3 linked regions of the Canis lupus familiaris genome follow. The protein of the gene in region 1 binds, or shares a complex with, the protein of each later gene. Links are inferred from orthologs where the notes say so. Each region holds a gene or a part of one and is shown on either strand. Other genes may lie near its edges. The genes, in order: NMUR2, NMU and GNAI1.

Region 1 (5,891 bases):
CTAATTAAATCCTTCATGATTATTATAGTCCTTGTGTTTATGCTATTATGTGAATTTCCATAGGGTGACAGTTAGTATCATATGTTTCGCTCTTAATAGATACAGTTTGGTATTGTTCTTTTGTTAACTACTAAATTTAGGCATAGATTTTTCCTCTATAATACTATTCCATGTTCTTGAGAACGAAGTCTAAATCTACTATCTACCAATGTGCCTCAAAGCTTCTGGCACAAAATAAGAATTTATTGAATGAATTAACAGTCTATAGCAATATTCTTCTCTTGTATTCCTCCCTGCCCAATTCTGTGCATAGGGCATATGGCACTCTGTATGTCCTGAACTATGTAAATGAGGACAACAATGAATGTTGTTAACAGTACCTATCACTTGTTTTATATTCTTAGCCATTCTCAGTCCCTCTGTGATAGCATCTCAACTTTATCCTCACAGTAATTCAGAGAGGTAGGTTGGGATGGTATGTTGCAGAGAAAAGAATTGAAGTGCCAGTTCCCTCTGTCACAGAACAAGCAAGGGACAAGATCAGAAACTAAGTCTTCTGATTCTCAACCTTAGGCCCATCTTGGGCCTTGGGGAAATAAAACAGGATATAGTAATAAAAGAAGTGTGTATAAAACAAGGAAATGGCAGTGTGCAAGGCATTTGGTGGAGAAAACGAATGGCAAAATACAATTATTTAATGAAGTTGGAAGGTGGGAAGAGCCATCAAGGGGAAAGGCCAGGTAGGAAAAGGGCCCTGGGGAATATTTTATTGAAGAGATAGTTAGCATTATAAGAAATCTCAGCAGAGACTATGCCTTAACTGATTTGCTATTCCTCCATCACTTGCAGTTTCAAATTATAGATTTAAGCAAAGCTCCAATGAGATAAAAACAATCTCTCTTTCCTCTGATACTTAAGCATCTCTCATTAATGCTATGAGAGCATGTTCTTTAATTAAACAAGTGGGGATCAAAGGAAATTGCCAAGCATCTCAGAGAGATCCCATGCCAGCCTAAATTTTTCTGAGACTCTTTAATCTTTCTGTGTTTGATTCCTAAATACACAGGTGGTAGATCTGTTCAGAGCATTTTGTATTCTCAATTAGAGTCTTGTATATATTATTACTTCCAAAAGAGGCAGTCTCAGGGATTCGAGGCCCTTGTTAAATATTTATACTTCTCTCTATCATACCTCTCACTCAGTTTCTCCTCAGTGTGTCTCTTTTTTTAATCTCCTGTGTTCCAGGTGTCTTCTTCTACCTGAGCTCAGCCGTCAACCCCATTATCTATAACCTACTCTCTCGCCGCTTCCGGGCAGCATTCAGGAATGTGATCTCTCCTTCTTGCAAACAGGGGCACTCCCAGCACCACCCACAGGGGCCACCTGCCCAGCGGAACATCTTCCTGACAGAATGTCACCTTGTGGAGCTGACTGAAGATGCAGGTCCCCAGTTCCCTTGTCAGTTGTCCATCAGCAGCTCTCCCCTCCCCACAACACTCTGTAGTGGAGAGGCACCATAAAAGGAATGCTCAAAGAGTTAACATTCCTCTATGCCACCATCCCATAGGGAGGGACACCCTTAATTTATGCCTCCTTATAGGATAGAAGGGAGGTGAAATGAGTCTTAGAATTTATATACCCATTTCTATTTTGTGTGGGTTTTTTTTAAAACAAATCGCTACTAAATCTGGATCTGAAACCCAGAACTGGGTTAACTGCCTCATGCCCCTTTACTTGTTCATGGAAAGAAAAAATAATCATGACCTATAAAATATGACACCTGTACTTTGAGTAATTTTCACTTTTGGAAATCATTTATCCTGAGTCATTCACACTCTGAGTTAGGCTGTAACTCTCACAACCAGTGGCCCCTGTGTGACATAAAAAGAAGCCATGTAGATGCTTATACTACTTTACATAATTTGAGGTATCCATGTCAATGTTCTTCCACAGAAAACTATTTACCCTATTGCCTCATATTTTGTCATTATAATGTGATTCATTAAAGTTTTGAAGCCTTACTTGAAGAGTCCTCCTGATAATATGGGGATGCTTTATAGAACTATTATTCCCACCTTTCTGATCCCCAAGTCATTCTCAGTCATCCCTTACCAAAAATGGGATCAGATACAAGTTCTACTTAGACAAGAATGGGAAGAGGGAGAAGGTTATGTGTGGAAGGTCAATAGAGACAAACTATTCCAAGCATGTGAACTTAATTGCTCTCATAGTTTGGTCTAGACATGCATTCCTAAAGTCTTAATAAACAGAGGTATCTGGAGGAAAAAACTATGTTGGGAAAAAACCTAAGCTAAATAGCAACTACTGGTCTCAAACCCATGACTTTCACTTACTTAATCCTTCATTATCTATATACCAGTCTTCACACGTATAAGAAAAATCAACTTTCCAGACTCATCTTCTACTACAGCATCACATGGAATATATATTCTATTCAAAATGGGTTACTTGCTCTTCTAATGAAAATGTGCCCCAGTTATCTCAGCTGTACATATTTGATTAGAAAATGCCCTCTTCATCTCCAGGCCCCATCTGTTGCTCTCCTACCCATGCTTCAATCGATCTCAGTGTGGTACCTCCATAAAACCCTGCTTGACTTATTCAAATAGATGTGGTATCTGACCTGTCAGTCTCTCTCTTAAGCTTTTTCTCACTCCGCTTTGTATTTCAGAGATTTATATACTTGTTTTGTCAGAATGTAAATTTGTCAAAGGCATGAAGTATCTTGTATTCATTTTTCCTGTTGCTGGAATCCTGGCAATATATCTGTCACAATGGTAGATGTTCAATAAATATGTGGTAAGTGAGTTGACTTCACATTCCAATGTGCTGAGCCAAAGAACAGCTCCAAATGGAACTGCAGTAAAAGCCAAAAGACTAAGGTTGTGTTTCTGATAGGGATATTTGACTTTCAGTTGGCTGTTTAGCCAGTTGTGATTATAATAGCATGTCTGCAGTGCCTGTGGTACAAGAAGGCTCTTCCCAATCCCAGATACTTACTGATGCTAAAACTACAAGTTCCAGTTTTTAGTCTCTGAATTTTCCCTAAATTGAATGAGCCATCCTATTGATAAATGGGGATATTGGTCCCTGACATCATTATTTCCTAACCGAACAATCATATTCAAGGTGATTCAATGTATGTATTTTTAAATCTCTTTGCTAATTATAAGCCAACTTGAATGAATTAGAGTCCTCCAGTGATGGTTTATGTTGGTGAGCAGAATCCTTGAGTCATTTGAAGATCATGTTGAAAGGACTCAACAAAATAAAACCTCAGAAATGGAGGAGAAATTAATTTCCTTCTCACCTTTTAGAAGCATGCTCAAATTAAGATCTAATAAGGTCACCTGCCTTAACATCAACTCCCAGTGACCACAACTAAATATGCTGCTATTGTAGGTGAATGCATAGAAAAAGAACACTAAAATTGAAGCTAGTAATTTTGCTGTTTGATTATAATTTTGATCTGTTTTCTCTTTATTTACCTTTTTTCTCTCAAAAATGTATATAAGAATTATTTGCTCATTAATTATTTCTTTGATAAATCACTTAGTACCCATAGGTTATGTGCATTATGCCAGGTTATGAATTTTCTGGCCTTGAGAGTTTACATTTTGTAGAAGAAATTATTTCTGTATGTATGTGTGTGTGTGTATGTGTGTGAAGTGTGCTACAAAATACAAATACAAGTGCTATACTACTATATAAAAAAAGGTGTTGTTCAAGTCAAGGGCAATAGATTTAATTAAGCCTAGCATTTAAGAAGGGGAAAAGGAGTTAAGTGTTGATATTTTGTCTATATACATATTCATATACACATGCATATATACACATATAGGAAACATATTTCAAAATGAAAATTGAAATGTCACAAGTCTAAGAGCTGATGTAATGGTTCACATACAATTAGTAGAACAAAGAGAAAAATAAAAACTAAATTGCTCAATGCTGCTCAATAGCTGACTTCATCATCTCCTTGTGAATTCCTTGTGATCTCTGCATTTTGGAATAATGACAGAAGAGGCCAGTAAACATGATTAATAACATATTGGTAATTTAACTCTTGCAATTAAACAGTGACTTTTGAGGTCTCTGGTATTTCATGAATTTAGTGAACTGAAGACATTCAGAATGTTGTTTGCCAAATTAATTGTCTAGTCCATAAAGACAGCCAAGATTCTTTTTTTTTTTAAGATTTTGTTTATTTATTCATAGAGACACAGAGAGAGAGAGAGAGAGAGAGAGAGGCAGAGACACAGGCAGAGACACAGGCAGAGACACAGGCAGAAGTGAGAAGCAGGCCCCCCACAGGAACCTGACGTGGGACTCCATCCCAGGTCTCCAGGATCACACCCCAGGTTGCAGGCGGCGCTAAACGGCCGCGCCACTGGGGCTGCCCGACAGCCAAGATCCTTAATCTGAGACTCATGAACATGTGTCAGGAAGTCCAAGAATCTCCTGAAATTGTGTTCGTAACTCTTAGTGTGTACTTTTTTGTCAAGAAAGCTTATAGTTTTGATTAGCTTCTCAAAGTAGTCTATGACTTAAATTATTATAATTACTATTGTAAAGTATCCTTAACAGTCTAACATAAAGATGCTGTCTTAATGGATGAGTTATAGTTGGATGAAGGCATTGCAGGAGAATTTAAAAGTATCATTATTCCAACATAAGAGTCTGGTGTTTTTTTGTTAAAGATTTTATTTATTTACTCATGAGAGACACAGGGAGAAACAGAGACAAAGGCAGAGGGAGAAGCAGGCTCCATGCAGGGAGTCCGATATGGGACTTGATACCAGGACTCCAGGATCATGCCCTGGGCTGAAGGCAGATGCTCAACCGCTGAGCCACCCAGGGATCCCAAGAATCTAGCATTTATAAGTATTAGTGGCTCAGTGTTGTGCTGATGCTGGCTCAGACTGGCCTCCAAAAGTTTATTTTTACATATTTAGGAATTTTGAGAGCCTGGTGTTATATGATTGGTAACCTGAAATCGGCCACAGTGGGAATATTTATACCACCAGAAGTTGGCAAATATTTTACATCAGGGTTCTTACCACCCCCCTCCAGAGCCATCTTATCAGCACACCACTAACCATCAATACACTGGCAATCTGCCATCTTTCTATAATATACATGATTGATTTGTAGAATAGATGCCCAATAACACCATTATAATTACAGAGCACTTAAAGTTGTGGTTAACTCGTTGGAAAAAATAGTAGTCAATGAACCAGATTTTGTTTTTTGTTTTTTGTTTTACAGAAAATAAAAAAAGAATTTTATTTTTTAAATTATTTTTTACATATTTTTTAATTGGAGTTCAATTTGCCAACATATAGCATAACACCCAGTGTTCATCCCATCAAGTGCCCCCCTCAGTGCCCATCACCCAGTCATCCCCACCCCCTGCCCACCTCCCTTTCCACCACCTCTTTGAACCAGATTTTGACCCTGAGGTATGAGATAATGCTAATTATGACATGAAAGCCTCATCAGCATTTTATAATTAACCTAGAATGGAATAATTATTCTTGGATGCTCTCCATTAATATCAATGTAGAAAATAGTAACAGCTCTACATGTTATCTTCCCTATACATCTGTTTTTAAATATCCCACAGGATTCATTGTAAAAAGATGCAAAATTTAAATTTCCACATTCTCTCTACTTGGCTGGAGACCTCTTTTTTTTTTTTTAAGAGAGAAAGCACACGCTCATGAGTGAGCGAGCCTGTGTGAGCTGGTGGGGAGGGGGGAAGGGAGAGGGTGAGAGAAAGAATCTTAAGCAGGCTCCACCCCAGTGCAGAGCCCTATGTGGGGGTTGATCTCATGACCCTGAGATTATGATCTGAACTGAAATCAAGA
Region 2 (7,432 bases), on another chromosome or scaffold:
TTTTCACTGTCTGACATGCAGCCCTTCCCTAACACCCTCCATGATGAGTCTTCTGAACGTCCCTATCATAGGCTAGCAGGTCTTGTTAATCTGTAGGTCCATGATCAAACGGAGCCTTCATACTTACAGGATGTAGGCAGAAAGCAAAGTTCAGTTGCCCATTTGCAATCAGGAATGCAAGAGATAATGGGTAAGAGGAATCAGCATGGTACCCAGATTCAAACTTTCAGTGTTGAACAGAGTAAATAGGAGTGCTTTAGATTCTATATACTACATATGATGGTGCATACTGATGTACAAGCTCAGTTTATTTTTTTAAATATTTTATTTATTTATTCATGACAAATAGAGAGAGAGAAGGAGAAGCAGACTCCATGCAGGGAGCCCGACATGGGACTTGATCCCAGGTCCCCAGGATCAGCCCGGGCTGAAAGTGGTGCTAAACCGCTGGGCCACCGGGGCTGCCCACAAACTCAGTTTAAATGAACATGGGGACACTTGGGGAGCTCCGTGGCTGAGTATCTGCCTTTGGCTCAGGGTATGATCGATCCCTGGGGTCCTGGGATTAAGTACCGCATCAGGCTCCCCACAGGGAGCCTGCTTCTCCCTCAGCCTATGTCTCTGCCTCTTTCTCTGTGTCTCTCATGAATAAATAAATAAATAAATAATCACTTAGAAATATAAATAAATAAATAAATAAATAAATAAATAAATAAATAAGAACTTCTAGGTACAGATTGCAATGTTTGTAAGAGAATTGTTAAGCCTCCCCTGCAGAAATCTGGGATCTAATTTCCTTGAAATATTTGGACAAAAGGGGACCTCTGGAATCAGCTTCATTCAGTCAGTTGTGGAATCCATAGTCTGCTTATGGGTAACTAAAGTGCCTATCTTCCCTCATTCTCCCATCCATCTTCTCTTATCATCCAAGTCACACAACAGCATGACCATTAGTCGGCACATCTTTTCTTAAGCAATTTTTTCAAAAATAACTCATATACAGAGAGTAGAACACAAGCCATAAGTGAGGAGAAAATATTTGCCAAACATTTAACTAATAAAAGTTCTGGAATACATAAAGCATTCCTATAATGGGTTAAAAAAAATAAAAAGCCTAACAACCCAATGGGGGCAAGAAACAAATGGGCATTTCACTGTTGCGAAAACAGCAATGGCGAATATATTTGTGAAAAGATACTCACCCTTATTATTAATGCTGGAAATTGTAAATTAAATCCATAATGAGATGCCACACCCACCAGACTGGCAAAGCTTTCTGCAAGGATGTGCAGCAATGGAAATTTCATGCATTGTTGGTGGTGTGGAGATTGGTATAACACATCGGAAAACAATTTAAAGTAGAGTTTAATGAGATTTTTCTCCCATGATAACTCTACTTCCAAGTACAGACCTCTGAAAACTCCTGCACATGTGCACCAAGGGACATGTACAAGGACATTCAGAGCCACCAGGTTCATGCAGAAAAAAATACTTGCAATGCATGAGTTGTTTCTTTTGCTGACCTGCTGGGGTATAAAAAGCCTTGAGGCCACTATTTGCAGGCTTCTCTGTTCTCACTGACATCTCACCCCACACAAGCTGCTGAAGCTAGACATCCTTCAGTGCACCTCCAGGAAATACAGGAAGGCAATTGGGAATCAGGGCCACCTCCACCCATCAAAATCCTCTGCACTACCTTTTTACTACTTTGGGAATAAATCAAAGCTTAAGCAATACTGATCAAATCTATTCTCATCCATCCTTGATTCCTGGTTTGGACCATGACTGTCATCCGGCCTTGCTCATATGCTGCATGAAAACTTAAAAACAGGAGTGACTATTTTTTTCTTATTACCTGTCAGGATGAGCACTTGCCTTGTAAGACAGCTATTTCAGTATGGATTTGGGGCCCTTCACCAAGTTCTAATTTCCTTTAGGGAAATTCCTCCTGTTACTAAAGATTCTAGTCTTTAAGGCCCCACTTTGCCTATAGTGCTTTGCACAGTGCATTTCTAGTGCATTAAAATCCCCAGCTTAGAGAAGAAAGGTCTTCGCAGAGGGGTCTCTCCCACAGGCTGATATCCTTGGGCAGACAATTTAATCTCCAAGTATCATCAGTATCATCAAATAAGCGTCATAATAGTTTTACCTTCCAGAGATGACATGAGTGTTAAATTAAATAGCAGGGGAAGATGTCCCTTAGGAAATGTTAATGTACTTCCTTTCTACCCTTTCCTCTGTGTTGCTTTCGTAAGGAGGTCAAATGAGCTCAGTCTTCCCTCTTTCAGTAGAAGGAAATTAAAACAGTATCAGCCAGTGTCCTAGAGAGGCTGCTTCCTGGACATTTCCACTTAGGAAGTAAAGGAAAGTATGGAGGGGGATGGCAGAGTTCCCATCACCCTAGAAATCAGAAAGCAACAGCTAGGGGGAGGGACCGCGGGAGAAACGCATGGAAAAACGAGCAACCTTGGGAACACATAGGATAGCCAGAGACCTTCCAGACCTATTGGAAATGTATGTGTGGTCAAATCCCAGCAATCCTTTCTCCTCGAGCTTCTTCAACAGATAACTGCATTTCCCTAAATGATCTCAGATCTTGCAGGAATTGGGGGAACACCAGGGTCACCACTGGTACTCCGGTACGCACCGGGCTTGAGCTGGGAGCTGGGGACGAAGGAAAGAGCGGGACAGAGGTGCTTCTGCGGAGGTGGAGGTGCGCACAGTGGGTGCGGCAGAGGAGGCCTTCCCGAGAGGTGCGCCAGGGGCGTCCCAGGACCCCCCCCCACCCCGCGTAAGAACCCCGATCCCGGCCCCTTCGGGCCTCCGGGCTCGCGCTCCTTCTCCAGCCCCCGCCCAGACCCTCTCCGAGCAGGGAACGGACGTGCACTGGGTCGTTTCCAGGCTCATCCCCGAGCCCCGGGGCGGCCGGAGCGAGAGGCGCCCTGAGTCACGACAGTGGCCGGGGGCGGGTCCCGCCGCGGGTGGGGGCCGGGGGCGGGCGGCGGGTCGCGAGTGACGCGACGGAGCCCGGGGGCGTGGGCGGCGAGCTGACGCGCGTGGGGACCGCGCCGCCCCAGCCCACGTGTCCGCCAGATTTAAAACTTGGCGGCGGAGCCCCGCGAGCCGCGCGTCCGGGACCCGGAGGCACTGCCAGGGCCCCGCGTGCCGCGCTGAGCCCCGAGATGCCCGCAGCGGCCGAGATGCCCGCGCCGCCCCCGCCGCCGCCGCTGCTGCTGCTGCTGCTGCTCGCCTGCTGTGCGGGCACCTGCCCAGGTGAGCGCCCGCGCCCGCCGTCCTGGCGCCTTCCCCGGGCCACCTGCCTCGCTCTCTTCCTCCCTTTCTGCTGTCGGCTTGGGGGGGGGGGGGGGGCTCCCCGGCTTCCCGCCTCTGACGACCCTCGCGCGGCGCCGCGCACCGGCCCCCAGCCCCGCAGGTCCCGCGCACCTGGCTGGGCTCCCTCACGCGCGGGACGTCCGTGGCCCGCGGACCCGGGAAAACTTGAACGAACGAACATGCCGAAAATTAAAGTGCGTTCCCTTTCGTGGCAATGACTAGCCGGATTGATGGCTAAAGCCGAACTGGACTTTGACACCTGCCGATCACCTGGCGCTGCTGCCGGTGAACTCGGGAGAGCGCCGCTCTCCTTTAGGGAGTGAGCTCCTGTTGCGTTCAGATCACCCCGAGCGACGAAACAGGCCCCCTTCTGGCCCTTTAGAAGGGGACGGGGGTGCGCTCGGTGCCTTTCTAGGTTCTGACGCACCAGGTCAGGAAAAAGAACGGAGACTTTCTTTGTATCACAGAGTTGGAGAGGCAAGTGCGCCAGCCGGGCTTTCAATCAGTGCCGCAGCGAAAGCCAGTGAAGGCAGATGCCATCTGATAAAATAGGGATTTCCAGTGCTTGGCTCAGAGAAAAGAACTGGAAAAAGCAAAATCGAGGTCAGGGAGGGATGTCTGCAGCTTGGGAGACGAGGTAGAAGGAAGCCCAGTATGTTCCAGCGGGGAGATCACTCCCCTATTCCCCAAAGATTACCTGGAGGGATCCATCCTTTGCCCCCCACCTCTGATCCAGAGTCCCCTCCAGGGCCAGCCACTATCCTGCCAAGACTGAATCTTCTAACTCCACAGCAGGTTCCCTTAGCTTCCCTCTGCCCTCCTGGCGGTGAGGCAGAGGTGCGCAGACCATGTCATCACTGTTGAGAGCACTGGGGACTTGAAACCGTAACTGCAGGGGCCTTTCAGAGCTTGCAGGCCAGCCTTCAATTAGAGGTGGAGAAACTGAAGCTATTCTTTTCCAATATATTTATTTTTATTGCTGTCCTTTTATCATTTTTGGTTTTTTGGCCCCTTTCCTGGGGGTATTGGAGAAGGAGGTGGGGAGGAGCTCTCCTGCTTGCAAAATGAGGTCATTTGGCTATGGAATGTTAGCAGTCCGAAGCTAGACCTAAACCTTCTCCATCACATAGCCAGCAATGCTACAGCATAACCTATGCAAGGTAGTGTTAATATTTTAATGTTTTTAATTTGTTTTTGGTAGAATTAGGGTGGCAGTCTTTATCTACCTTGTTAAAGAAGCAGATGATTATAGTTTTAAAAGTGTCCTTTTCTCTGTAAAGCAAATGTACCTGCTATACATGTTACATGCTATATGATTACAGTGATATTTGGATCGGTGGGAGATAACTGCTTTTTTGAGAAATGGGGGAATTTTCAGGCTGCTGGTGATTAAGCAGAAACTGTAGAAGGCCTTTTTTTTTTTTTTGGCAAAAGACAAGTCTTTTTTTTTTTTTTTTATTGGTGTTCAATTTACTAACATACAGAATAACACCCAGTGCCCGTCACCCATTCACTCCCACCCCCCGCCCTCCTCCCCTTCTACCACCCCTAGTTCGTTTCCCAGAGTTAGCAGTCTTTACGTTCTGTCTCCCTTTCTGATATTTCCCACACATTTCTTCCCCCTTCCCTTATTTTCCCTTTCACTATTATTTATATTCCCCAAATGAATGAGAACATATAATGTTTGTCCTTCTCCGACTGACTTACTTCACTCAGCATAATACCCTCCAGTTCCATCCACGTTGAAGCAAATGGTGGGTATTTGTCATTTCTAATAGCTGAGTAATATTCCATTGTATACATAAACCACATCTTCTTTATCCATTCATCGCAAAAGACAAGTCTTGGGTTTTATGTTGAGAAAGAATGTTTCTGCTGGCTGACCAATCATCTCATAAACATCCCCAGTATTTCTCAAGCAAACAGACAAGATGCCTTTTCCACTGCACAGAAACCCCCTAGACTATCATTTTGTATCTTTTTCCCCTTTAGACCTGCTCTTGATATTGAAAAAAATAATTTTATCTCTCTAAAGATGTGAGGGAGAGGGGAATGAGTGAACATAGTATGATCTTCCCTAGTCCTGAGTCCCTAAAAATGGCATTGGAAGGGAAGCATGACATACATAATCAAAACTGGGAGATAATCTATGAAGATTAATCATTATGCAGGATGTAACTGGATGTATCTAAAAACAACAAAACAAATATCACAAAGCCGTAGGAAAATAAAATAGTGTCAAAAAGTGGAGCATCCTTGGCAAAATGAGTTAGCAGAGCATGCAACAGCAAGATAAAGAGCCAGTCACAAGTCTGGTGGATGGAAACAGTTTACGATTCAAAGAGCATCATTAAAATAAAGAAAGAAATTTTCTAAAAGAGGGAACATTTTGGATAACTGCAACAAACCTTGATTTGGCTTGTGACAGTAAGTGATCAAAGTGCCCAAGACTAAATTAAGAAGGGTTTTTTCCTACTCAGACCCTTGCTCTTTGAATATGTCTTAAAATTCAGACTCCTGCTCATTGACTATGTCTTAAAATTCAGTCAGTAGTAACAATTTCTCACTTTGGAACCCTACACTAGCTAAGTGCTAGCAACAAGGAAAGAAAATTAGCACCACTTTTAGAATAATTAAGTCTGGGGATGCCTGGGTGGCTCTGCAGTTGAGCGGTTGAGTGTCTGCCTTTGGCTGAGGGTGTGATCCTGGAATCCCAGATTGGGTCCTCCCCCCCCCCCCACCAGCATTGGGCTCCCTGCATGGAGCCTGCTTCTCCCTCTGCCTGTGTCTGCCTCTGTGTGTGTGTCTCTCATGAATAAATAAATAAAATCTTTAAGAAAAGTAATTATCTCTGTTTTTCAGAGAGAGACAGGTACTATATGATCTGACTTGTACATGCAATCTAAAAAACCCCAGCAAAACAAAATCAAACCAAGCATGTGGATACAGAGAACAGAATAGGGGTTCACAGAGGTAGGAGGTGGAAGTTTGAAATGCGTAAAGGGAGTCAAAAGGTACAAACTTCCATTTATAAAATAAATAAGCCATGAGGATGTAATGTAAAGCATGGTGACTACATGGTGTATTTGAAAGCTGCTAAGAGTGAATCTTAAAAGTTCTCATCACAAGAAAAAAAACCTCTGTAACTACGTTGGTGATAGATGTTAATGAGACTTATTGTGGTGATCATTTCACAATATATACAAATTTAGGAAATTTAGGATTGTTATGTTGTGCAGCTGCAACTAGCATAATGTATGTTGGTTATACCCCAATCTAAAGGTCAGTTCTTCTTTCTCTAACAGATGGTGTATTTGCAGATGCAAAAGTTGTCTATCCGTATTATTTGCATTAGTTAGACTGTACACTATAAGACTAAAGGTTTCACTTTACTAGACAGTATATAAGTATCTTAAAGCTGATCAAAAACAGTGCAGTTTTTGTAATCTACGAGATAACGACACTTTGACTATACTTAAGAAAATATCTAGGGATCCCTGGGTGGCGCAGCGGTTTGGCGCCTGCCTTTGGCCCAGGGCGCAATCCTGGAGACCCAGGATCGAATCCCACATCGGGCTCCCGGTGCATGGAGCCTGCTTTTCCCTCTGCCTGTGTCTCTGCCTCTCTCTCTCTCTCTCTCTCTCTCTCTCTGTGAGACTATCATAAATTAAAAAAAAAAAGTATCTAGTACTACTATTTGACTATATAAAGCCCATACCTAGGGTATCTTGGGGGAAAAAATCACATCAACTTTGGTTAACAAGTACACAAAGGGAAGAAAAATATTTCCTTTTTACATTTGGGTCTGGTACTCGGAGTTTCTATAAATTAAAAACATTTTGAAATTTTGGCTCCTCTAACCTTTTTACCCTGAGACTGTTTACATGTGTTGTGTAAGAACCACAAAGTACCCCTTTTTGATTATATAAGTGCTTGGGAGTAAGATATCATGGCAATTTCTGTGTGGCCCATGCAAGCTTGGGATGTGGAAGGAGGCAAGCTCACCGGGAGGCAGCATGGAGCTGGGAGCTTCCACTTTTACCGAAGGGTGGGAGACAGGCAGGTGAAGAAAGAATATAAAATTGTGAGGTGTCTGGGT
Region 3 (6,878 bases), on another chromosome or scaffold:
AACAAAGAACCTTCCATCTAAACAAGTACTTCTCAAACATTAGTGTAGATCAGAATCACCAGGTGGGCAAAATTGATGCTGCTGATCTGGGGACCATACTTTGGGAATCACTGGTCTTAACTCATTAAGCCAAGGAGCAAAAATGACTAAAATCTGATGTTACAAATAACTGTGCATAAGGCAGTATTCCTTTTTCACACATTAGAATTATCTTAAAATTCCGATTTTTTTTAAATTAACCAAAAACAGAACAAAATAATATGTTCTCCTTCAGATGAACAGATGAGAGTTTTTTTTCTAGCATCAAAGAGGGAATGAATTTGAGTTTTCTTAGGTTTCTTTTTTTTTTTTTTTTTTTTTTCGGGGAGGGGACGGAAAAGGTATACAGGGATATTGAAGATTCTGAGATGTTCTGATATTCTCAGACTGTCCTATGAGACCAAGACCGACTGGTACGAAGCCAGATGACCCTACAGGCATATCCACCCTATACATATAACGTACTCCAAAACCCATTTCACATTTATACGACTATAGAAAAGGAAGAGAAATCTATCTTACAATTTTATAAGAGAAGGGATGCTATAATTCCCTATTTGGCAAAAAGTAAAGTGGTTGATTCCTTAAAGCAAAATGATCCACGCAGACACTTTCCACAAACGCCTAGTCAGAGAGGTGAGAATATGTATTCTTAAATTACAATGCCTTATTGCCTCCTCTTGAATTTAATTCTGATCATACAAAATACTAAGCGAAACCGAAATTTTACATCAGCTGTTAAAATGAAAGAACGAATTACAATACAAAACACGAAAACGAGAAACACAGGAACTCCTGCAGAATCATTCTAAGTCTCCTTCTGCCCTCGTTCTCCCCAGCTCCGTGCATTTTCTCCTCAGACTGTATTTGTTAAAGCCATTAGCTGAACATAACAATATAAGCTTGCTTTTAAAATAGGGTGTTTAAAAAAAGAGTAAACAAAAAGCAAAAAAAAAAAAAATCAGAATCTAAGTAAAAACAAACAAAAAAACCCCCAAAACTTTGAAGCCTCATTCTGACAGTGAAGTTTCCTTAAAATTATAACTTTAAGATAAATGTAATAATAATAGTTCCCAGATCAGACCTATCAGACTATTTAAATATTAATGTTTTACTATTCCCCACTTTGGTCATTTAATATCCTAGAAGTACTGAACAGATTAAAAGAAAGTAAATGATTTTGGTAAGAGCTACTGCCAGCCAAAGAATGTCCACTGCCAGCTTACAAACTGGCGAAAACAGAAAGGAATTAAAAGGAGATGAAAAAGTTGATCATGTATTTAAGTACAAAGTTACATGGTCAGATAAACTATGAATTGTAATTCTGTTTTTTAAAAAAAGCAGGCAATGTTTTTTTTGGGGGAGGGTGGAGGGAAGCTGCTATGGAAAATTAAAATTCAATTTTGGTTTTCTGGAAAATCAATTACAGGAACCACTGATAAATTAGTGGGATAAATTAGTGACTAATGATAATAAACATATTTAAAATACTTATAGAAGAGGGGCATCTGGGGGGCTCAGTCAGGTCAGCCTCTGACTTGATTTCAGCTTGGGTCGTGATCTCAGGGTTGGGAGATCAAGACCGATGCCAGGCTCCATCCTGGGCATTGAGCCTACTTAAGACTCTCTCCCCCTCCTCCTTTCCCATGTCCTCAGGTGCACGCATGCTCTTGCTCTGTCTCTCTCTCTCCTAAAAAATAAGATACTTATAGAAGGAATCAGAAGTACATTTGCATCAGTATAGTTGCATATATGTAACTGTACTTCCCACGACTTGTAACAGTGACCTTCAAGAATATTTTCATCTTTGACTAGGAAACTTTAGGTGCTTTCAGAAATTCTGCTTCATTAAAACTGTTTCAGAGCATTAGGGCTATCTGAAGCACAGTCCAATAACTTTTTTCATACTTTAAAAAAGAGGAACATAGGTCTGAAAATTAATGTTTCACTAAACTTCCCTGAGTCTCATTCATTATGAAATGAGTGTATTGGACAAAACAAGTTCTGAGATCCCTTGCATTTCTACAGGCTACAATTCAGTACTTCTCTGCTCAAACTTCATTAAGTTAGTATTTAGCATACTCTAAATGACATTTTTCATCATGAAAAAGTGCAAACATTTGAATGAATAAAAACTTTTAAAAGGTACCCTTCATTTTTACCATTTCCATAAATAAGCATATGTACAATCAGTAAAATTCTAAGAATACATGTTAACACTTTCTCCAAATATGCAATATCAGAGCAATATTTTCTATTTAGAAATAAAAGCTAAAAATTATTTTTATTTAAATCACTTTGAAAATATAAACAAGAGATTTGCATGTTCATTTTTTCTTAAATAAAAATTAAATATTCCTAAGAATGTTTCCTGTCCTTCTTCATCCAAAATATTGTCTGTCTAATCACCTTTCTTTACTGAACAAGGTATTTTATACCTAAATTTGTAAATGATATGCTTTAAAGCTACTTACTTAAAATGGAGATCTTTGAAAGTAAAATGGGTTTCGACAATTCCTGTTGTTTTCACTCTGGTTCTGAGAACATCCTGCTGAGTTGGGATATAATTTGGTTGTGCTATTCTGTCCAAGTCATTCAAATAGCTGAAGAAATAAATAAAATAATAGTTAATATAGCCCTTAAAGATCATCTACATCAAGAAGTAAAACATTTTGATGCATGCAATATCATAAATCAATGGAAATTTTTATATTTCTGTGTAATGATGTAAAAATACAACCAATTTAAGTTTATATGTTATACAATTCCCACTGAAATGAAAATGTATACTTCTCCAGCCACAAAGCCCTTTTAACATTTTCTAAGTACTGTGTACTTTGTTTCCTAAGGACACGAATTAGTAATTCTCCTTGTTAGAAACAAAACAGAATAATTTCTTAAAAACCACACACAACCAATTGTACACTAGGAGTCAGCTTCTTAAAAGTCTTTATTACACTTTTTTTAAGTAGCATGTATTTCTTTTCTGGACATTACTCTTGTTGAGGAGTTACAAAGACTGAAGTTTTTGAGAAAGTAATGAGTAGATCTCCAGCCAAAGGCTAAATTCAATACTATTCTTTTTCAGCCAGCTTTAAGTTACAAATAGGAAAACACTACGCACGCTCTTTTACTCTGCATTTTACTGGTTCTCTAAATAAATATTCATATTTGGGGATCCCTAGGTGGCTCAGCGGTTTAGTGCCTGCATTTGGCCCAGGGCGCAATCCTGGAGTCCCGGGATCGAGTCCCACGTCAGGCTCCCTGCATGGAGCCTGCTTCTCCCTCCTGCTGTGTCTCTGCTCTCTATGTCTATCATAAATAAATAAATATTTAAAAAAATATATTCATATTTTACTTCTCACTGGTTTTAGCCACCCACCCGTTCAATACTCTTTGCCAACAATGTCAAATATGTTATGCTACTAAAATGCAGTGGTGTCATACCATGCGATTATTTTTGTAAATTATTCTGTGTCATTTTATATAGTAAATAATGTTATAGAAAGTCCAGGTATGAAGAGAGTAATGTGAACCTGAGTGGTGAAAGAAGCCTTCATGGGTGGGGAGGGTTGTAAACAGAAATCTGAATGATGAGGGATGTGAACAGAAAAAAAGAATGCAATCCAGATCAGGAGAGTAGTCAAACAGTATGAGGAGGCAGGAATTGTCAGATCTTGCTTCTCACAAAGTAAGGCCCCCAGGAAGTTGTGCATAAACTCAAATGAGAAGTCTGGAATTGATTCTAAATGGGAAGCTTCCCAACAGTGTTTTCTGATACTAGAGTGCAGTGGTCAAAGATAATTTAGAAGATTCACATCTGTGTTTATTACAGAGGCACCAACTACTACAACTTTAATGGACGTTATCTTCTGAAACTGTTCCTTAGCCATTTAGAACAGATCTTACAAACAAAAGGAGCTCAATAAATATTTGATTTGTAGAGATGGAGTTGAAAAGCTATCGAAACACTGAATTAGTAATCAACAGTGTTTTAGACAGTTAAGTATATGTATGTGATATTGATACCAGAATTCATAGAGCATACCTGGAGTTATCTGCATTGTATTTATTGAACTTAAAATAATCTTATTATCACATTGCTGATAATCCCCTAGTACTCTGTGTTTTTAATTCCACATATATAATGATATACAGTATTGTAAAAAAAAAAATCTAATAAACACATGGCAATATTTTACGAATTGTCCCTCTGAAATAGTGTGTTAATCTTATTTAAAATGCACTTTGATTACTCCCATACATTTATTTGCTTAAAAATGCTACTCAATAGTCTCTAAAAATAATGCACATTCATATTTCAATAACACAAATTAATCCGGCATTGGGAAAAACTCCAATTATTTAAAATGATCATGAATTTCAAGTAAATTGGTAGTTAGATAGTCCCAGTGGGCAACTTGGCAACATCTCCCATCTCTAGCCCAAAACTCAGAAATCAAGAGGCTCTGTGACCACTATGGAGAAAAAGATTTCTAGGACTTCCTTCATTCTTGAAAAGTGGCTCCCTTGTTGCCATCGTGAAGTCAGAACTACTAGTAATGAAATACTGGGGAACCAAAATGACTTATTTTTCCAGTGCATACCCCGATACTTGAGCACACGGGACAAGTCTTGGTCATTAGACTGCAGTGGTCCAGGAAGTCCCATCATACAGGGAAAGTGACTTCAACCGATCATCTCTGAGAAGGACCCCTTAATTACTGCAAAAGCTCCCCTAGCTGGGCTCTACTCAGAGCAATCTTCTCAACATGAGTGATTCCCATTTAGCTCTTTCTGCAGGAGCTGGTGGTGCCAAAGCAAATAATATGGTCTAAGAATCGTGTTCTTCCTGTAAATCATTTTCTTCTAATTTCTCTTCGAGCTTCTGTAAAGTATGGTTTATTCATTCACTCATTATTAAACAAGAGCATAGCAAATGACAACTGTGTGTCATGGAGAAAGCACACAGGGTGAAAACAGACCGCACTGAATTTACAGTGTAGTGGCAGAGACAGAAAATCATTTCAACACAAATAAAAATTACCTCAAATGTAAATCTGTGAGTGCTCTGAAAGAAATATTTTGTATTTTAAGTATGTAAGACAGGGAGGCAAAGACCTATCTGTGAGTCAAGGCATATATCCTAAGAAAAGATGACACCAGTTGGAGAGGGGAGCTACATATTCAGTAACATGTTACATATACATATAGAAAATACATACAAAATAATATGTATATATTATATAGCTTACATAGTCATAAAGCATTAGAAATACAGATTAGGGGTCGCCTGGGTGGCTCAGTGGTTGAGCCTTCAGCTCAGGGCGTGATCCCAGGGTTCCTAGGATCAAGTTCCACATCGGGCTCCCTGCAGGGAGCCTGCTTCTAACCTCTGCCTCTGTCTCTGTCTCTCCAAAGAATAAATAAATGAAATCTTAAAAAAAATATATAGAATAGGAAATACTAATAAAAATTGGTATGGGTTACACAGTAAGGTGTATTTACTCCCTCACACTAAATCACAGAACAGAAACTGAGTATTCTTATGTGTAGCCAATGACCTGCTGAGTGATAATTGGGGAGAGCCGTAACCTATTTCTCACTGTGGTGAAATGGGTGTATTTACCTAGTCCTCTCTAGTAACCATCATCTTCTCTCTCACCCTCATTTGTGTCCCTGAACACCAGTAGCTGTCAAGAAAATGGAATAAAGTAAAAGGAGCACAGAGCACATGTATTAAGACCAGTTAATGCTACTCATATCTGACATTTTTGACTGTGTCTGCTAGATTATGGAAACAAACACTTGATTTTTTAATTTTTATTTATTTTTTTTACTGTAGCTAGATCACCAAGCAGAAAGCTCCCTGACCAGGTTTTGCTTTATGAACTCTCAGTGGCCACCACTTAGAAAATCAGGGCAGGTTTTTCTTACAAAATACTGTACTTAGCTATCTGTAAATGATATCTAATGCAACAGAGCACATACAATTGACAATTTTCAAGCGTAGAGATATTTTACTCAATGAGGAAACATCTTGGGATCACCATACACCCCTCTAAAAGAGGTACATCTCATGCAGGGTGCCTGTCACTGGACAAATAATTCTTCTCAGGCACTTTTAAGTTTAGTGAAAAGAACCAAATCAGCTCCCCTCCCCTTGGGCTGGCCCCACACAAACTTGAGATACGCTCAAATTCAGGGTGAACTTTGCAAAGTTCCAGTTTACTTTCTTGGAAATATGCTGCCAACAGTCTATTCTGAATGTTTCAATTAGAGTTACATAAGGGTGAGTCTCTTGAGACACCTCCGAACACAAAGGAAATAACAGCAATGCTATCTACAAACACACCAAAAAATCCAGAAAAGTTTTCAAATACTGTCATCCTGAATATCCTGAGTTTTACAAGAAATGTGTCAGCCAGTTCTGCAATAGCACTGACTTGGAGGTATATTTGACTTGCAAGAAATTATTCATGATAGTTTAGTTCTGAAGTCATGATTACTTACTATGCTGCAGAGTCATTAAGCTGGTACTCTCGGGATCTGTTGAAACAGGCTTGCACGCCACTATCTTTCCACAATCTCTTTATAACTCCAGCAAGTTCTGCAGTCATAAAACCTTCTTCAGCAGCTCCAGCAAGCACAAAGAGTTGGCGGGCATCATCCTGAACATTCAAAGACCATTTTTTTTTTAATAAGTAAAAAAGGGAGACATTACAGATTAAAAGTACAGAGGGAGGCATTCTAGATTACGAAAAGTGCAATCATGCATTTCCTTTGTTTTTCATTGGGGTCATGGCTTTTAGTTCTCTGAAGCACCACTTAAAAAAATG

The links.
Region 2: the proteins of NMUR2 (region 1) and NMU are in contact, whole or in part, in a cryo-EM structure (PDB 7XK8), measured with the Homo sapiens proteins. The link is inferred for Canis lupus familiaris from reciprocal best matches to the Homo sapiens genes NMUR2 and NMU. Residues at the interface, in NP_064552.3 of Homo sapiens: Ser42, His43, Gly98, Glu102, Glu105, Met106, Trp107, Arg108, Asn109, Tyr110, Pro111, Thr123, Phe126, Glu127, Asn181, His185, Pro199, Ser201, Thr203, Cys204, Val206, Tyr213, Phe284, Arg288, Phe291, Glu295, Trp297, Ser298, Glu299, Ala302; in NP_006672.1 of Homo sapiens: Glu146, Phe152, Ala153, Ser154, Gln155, Gly158, Tyr159, Phe160, Leu161, Phe162, Arg163, Pro164, Arg165, Asn166.
Region 3: the proteins of NMUR2 (region 1) and GNAI1 are in contact, whole or in part, in a cryo-EM structure (PDB 7XK8), measured with the Homo sapiens proteins. The link is inferred for Canis lupus familiaris from reciprocal best matches to the Homo sapiens genes NMUR2 and GNAI1. Residues at the interface, in NP_064552.3 of Homo sapiens: Thr78, Thr80, Glu143, Arg144, Ala147, Ile148, Pro151, Phe152, Ala154, Leu156, Met239, Leu243, Gln259, Cys262, Arg263, Val266, Leu330, Ser331, Arg333; in NP_002060.4 of Homo sapiens: Glu28, Ala31, Arg32, Leu194, Ile343, Ile344, Lys345, Asn347, Leu348, Lys349, Asp350, Cys351, Gly352, Leu353, Phe354.

Annotation. Positions count from the first base shown.
Region 1 is NC_049225.1:57,871,403-57,877,293, forward strand, and holds the end of NMUR2 (neuromedin-U receptor 2), read left to right. Parts: intron 1-1,245; coding exon 1,246-1,520; 3' UTR 1,521-3,208; downstream 3,209-5,891. UniProt on the Homo sapiens protein: Receptor for the neuromedin-U and neuromedin-S neuropeptides.
Region 2 is NC_049234.1:48,652,041-48,659,472, reverse strand, and holds the start of NMU (neuromedin-U), read left to right. Parts: upstream 1-3,153; 5' UTR 3,154-3,182; coding exon 3,183-3,273; intron 3,274-7,432.
Region 3 is NC_049239.1:20,213,526-20,220,403, reverse strand, and holds part of GNAI1 (guanine nucleotide-binding protein G(i) subunit alpha-1), read right to left. Parts: intron 6,711-6,878; coding exon 6,553-6,710; intron 2,643-6,552; coding exon 2,514-2,642; intron 1-2,513. UniProt on the Homo sapiens protein: Guanine nucleotide-binding proteins (G proteins) function as transducers downstream of G protein-coupled receptors (GPCRs) in numerous signaling cascades.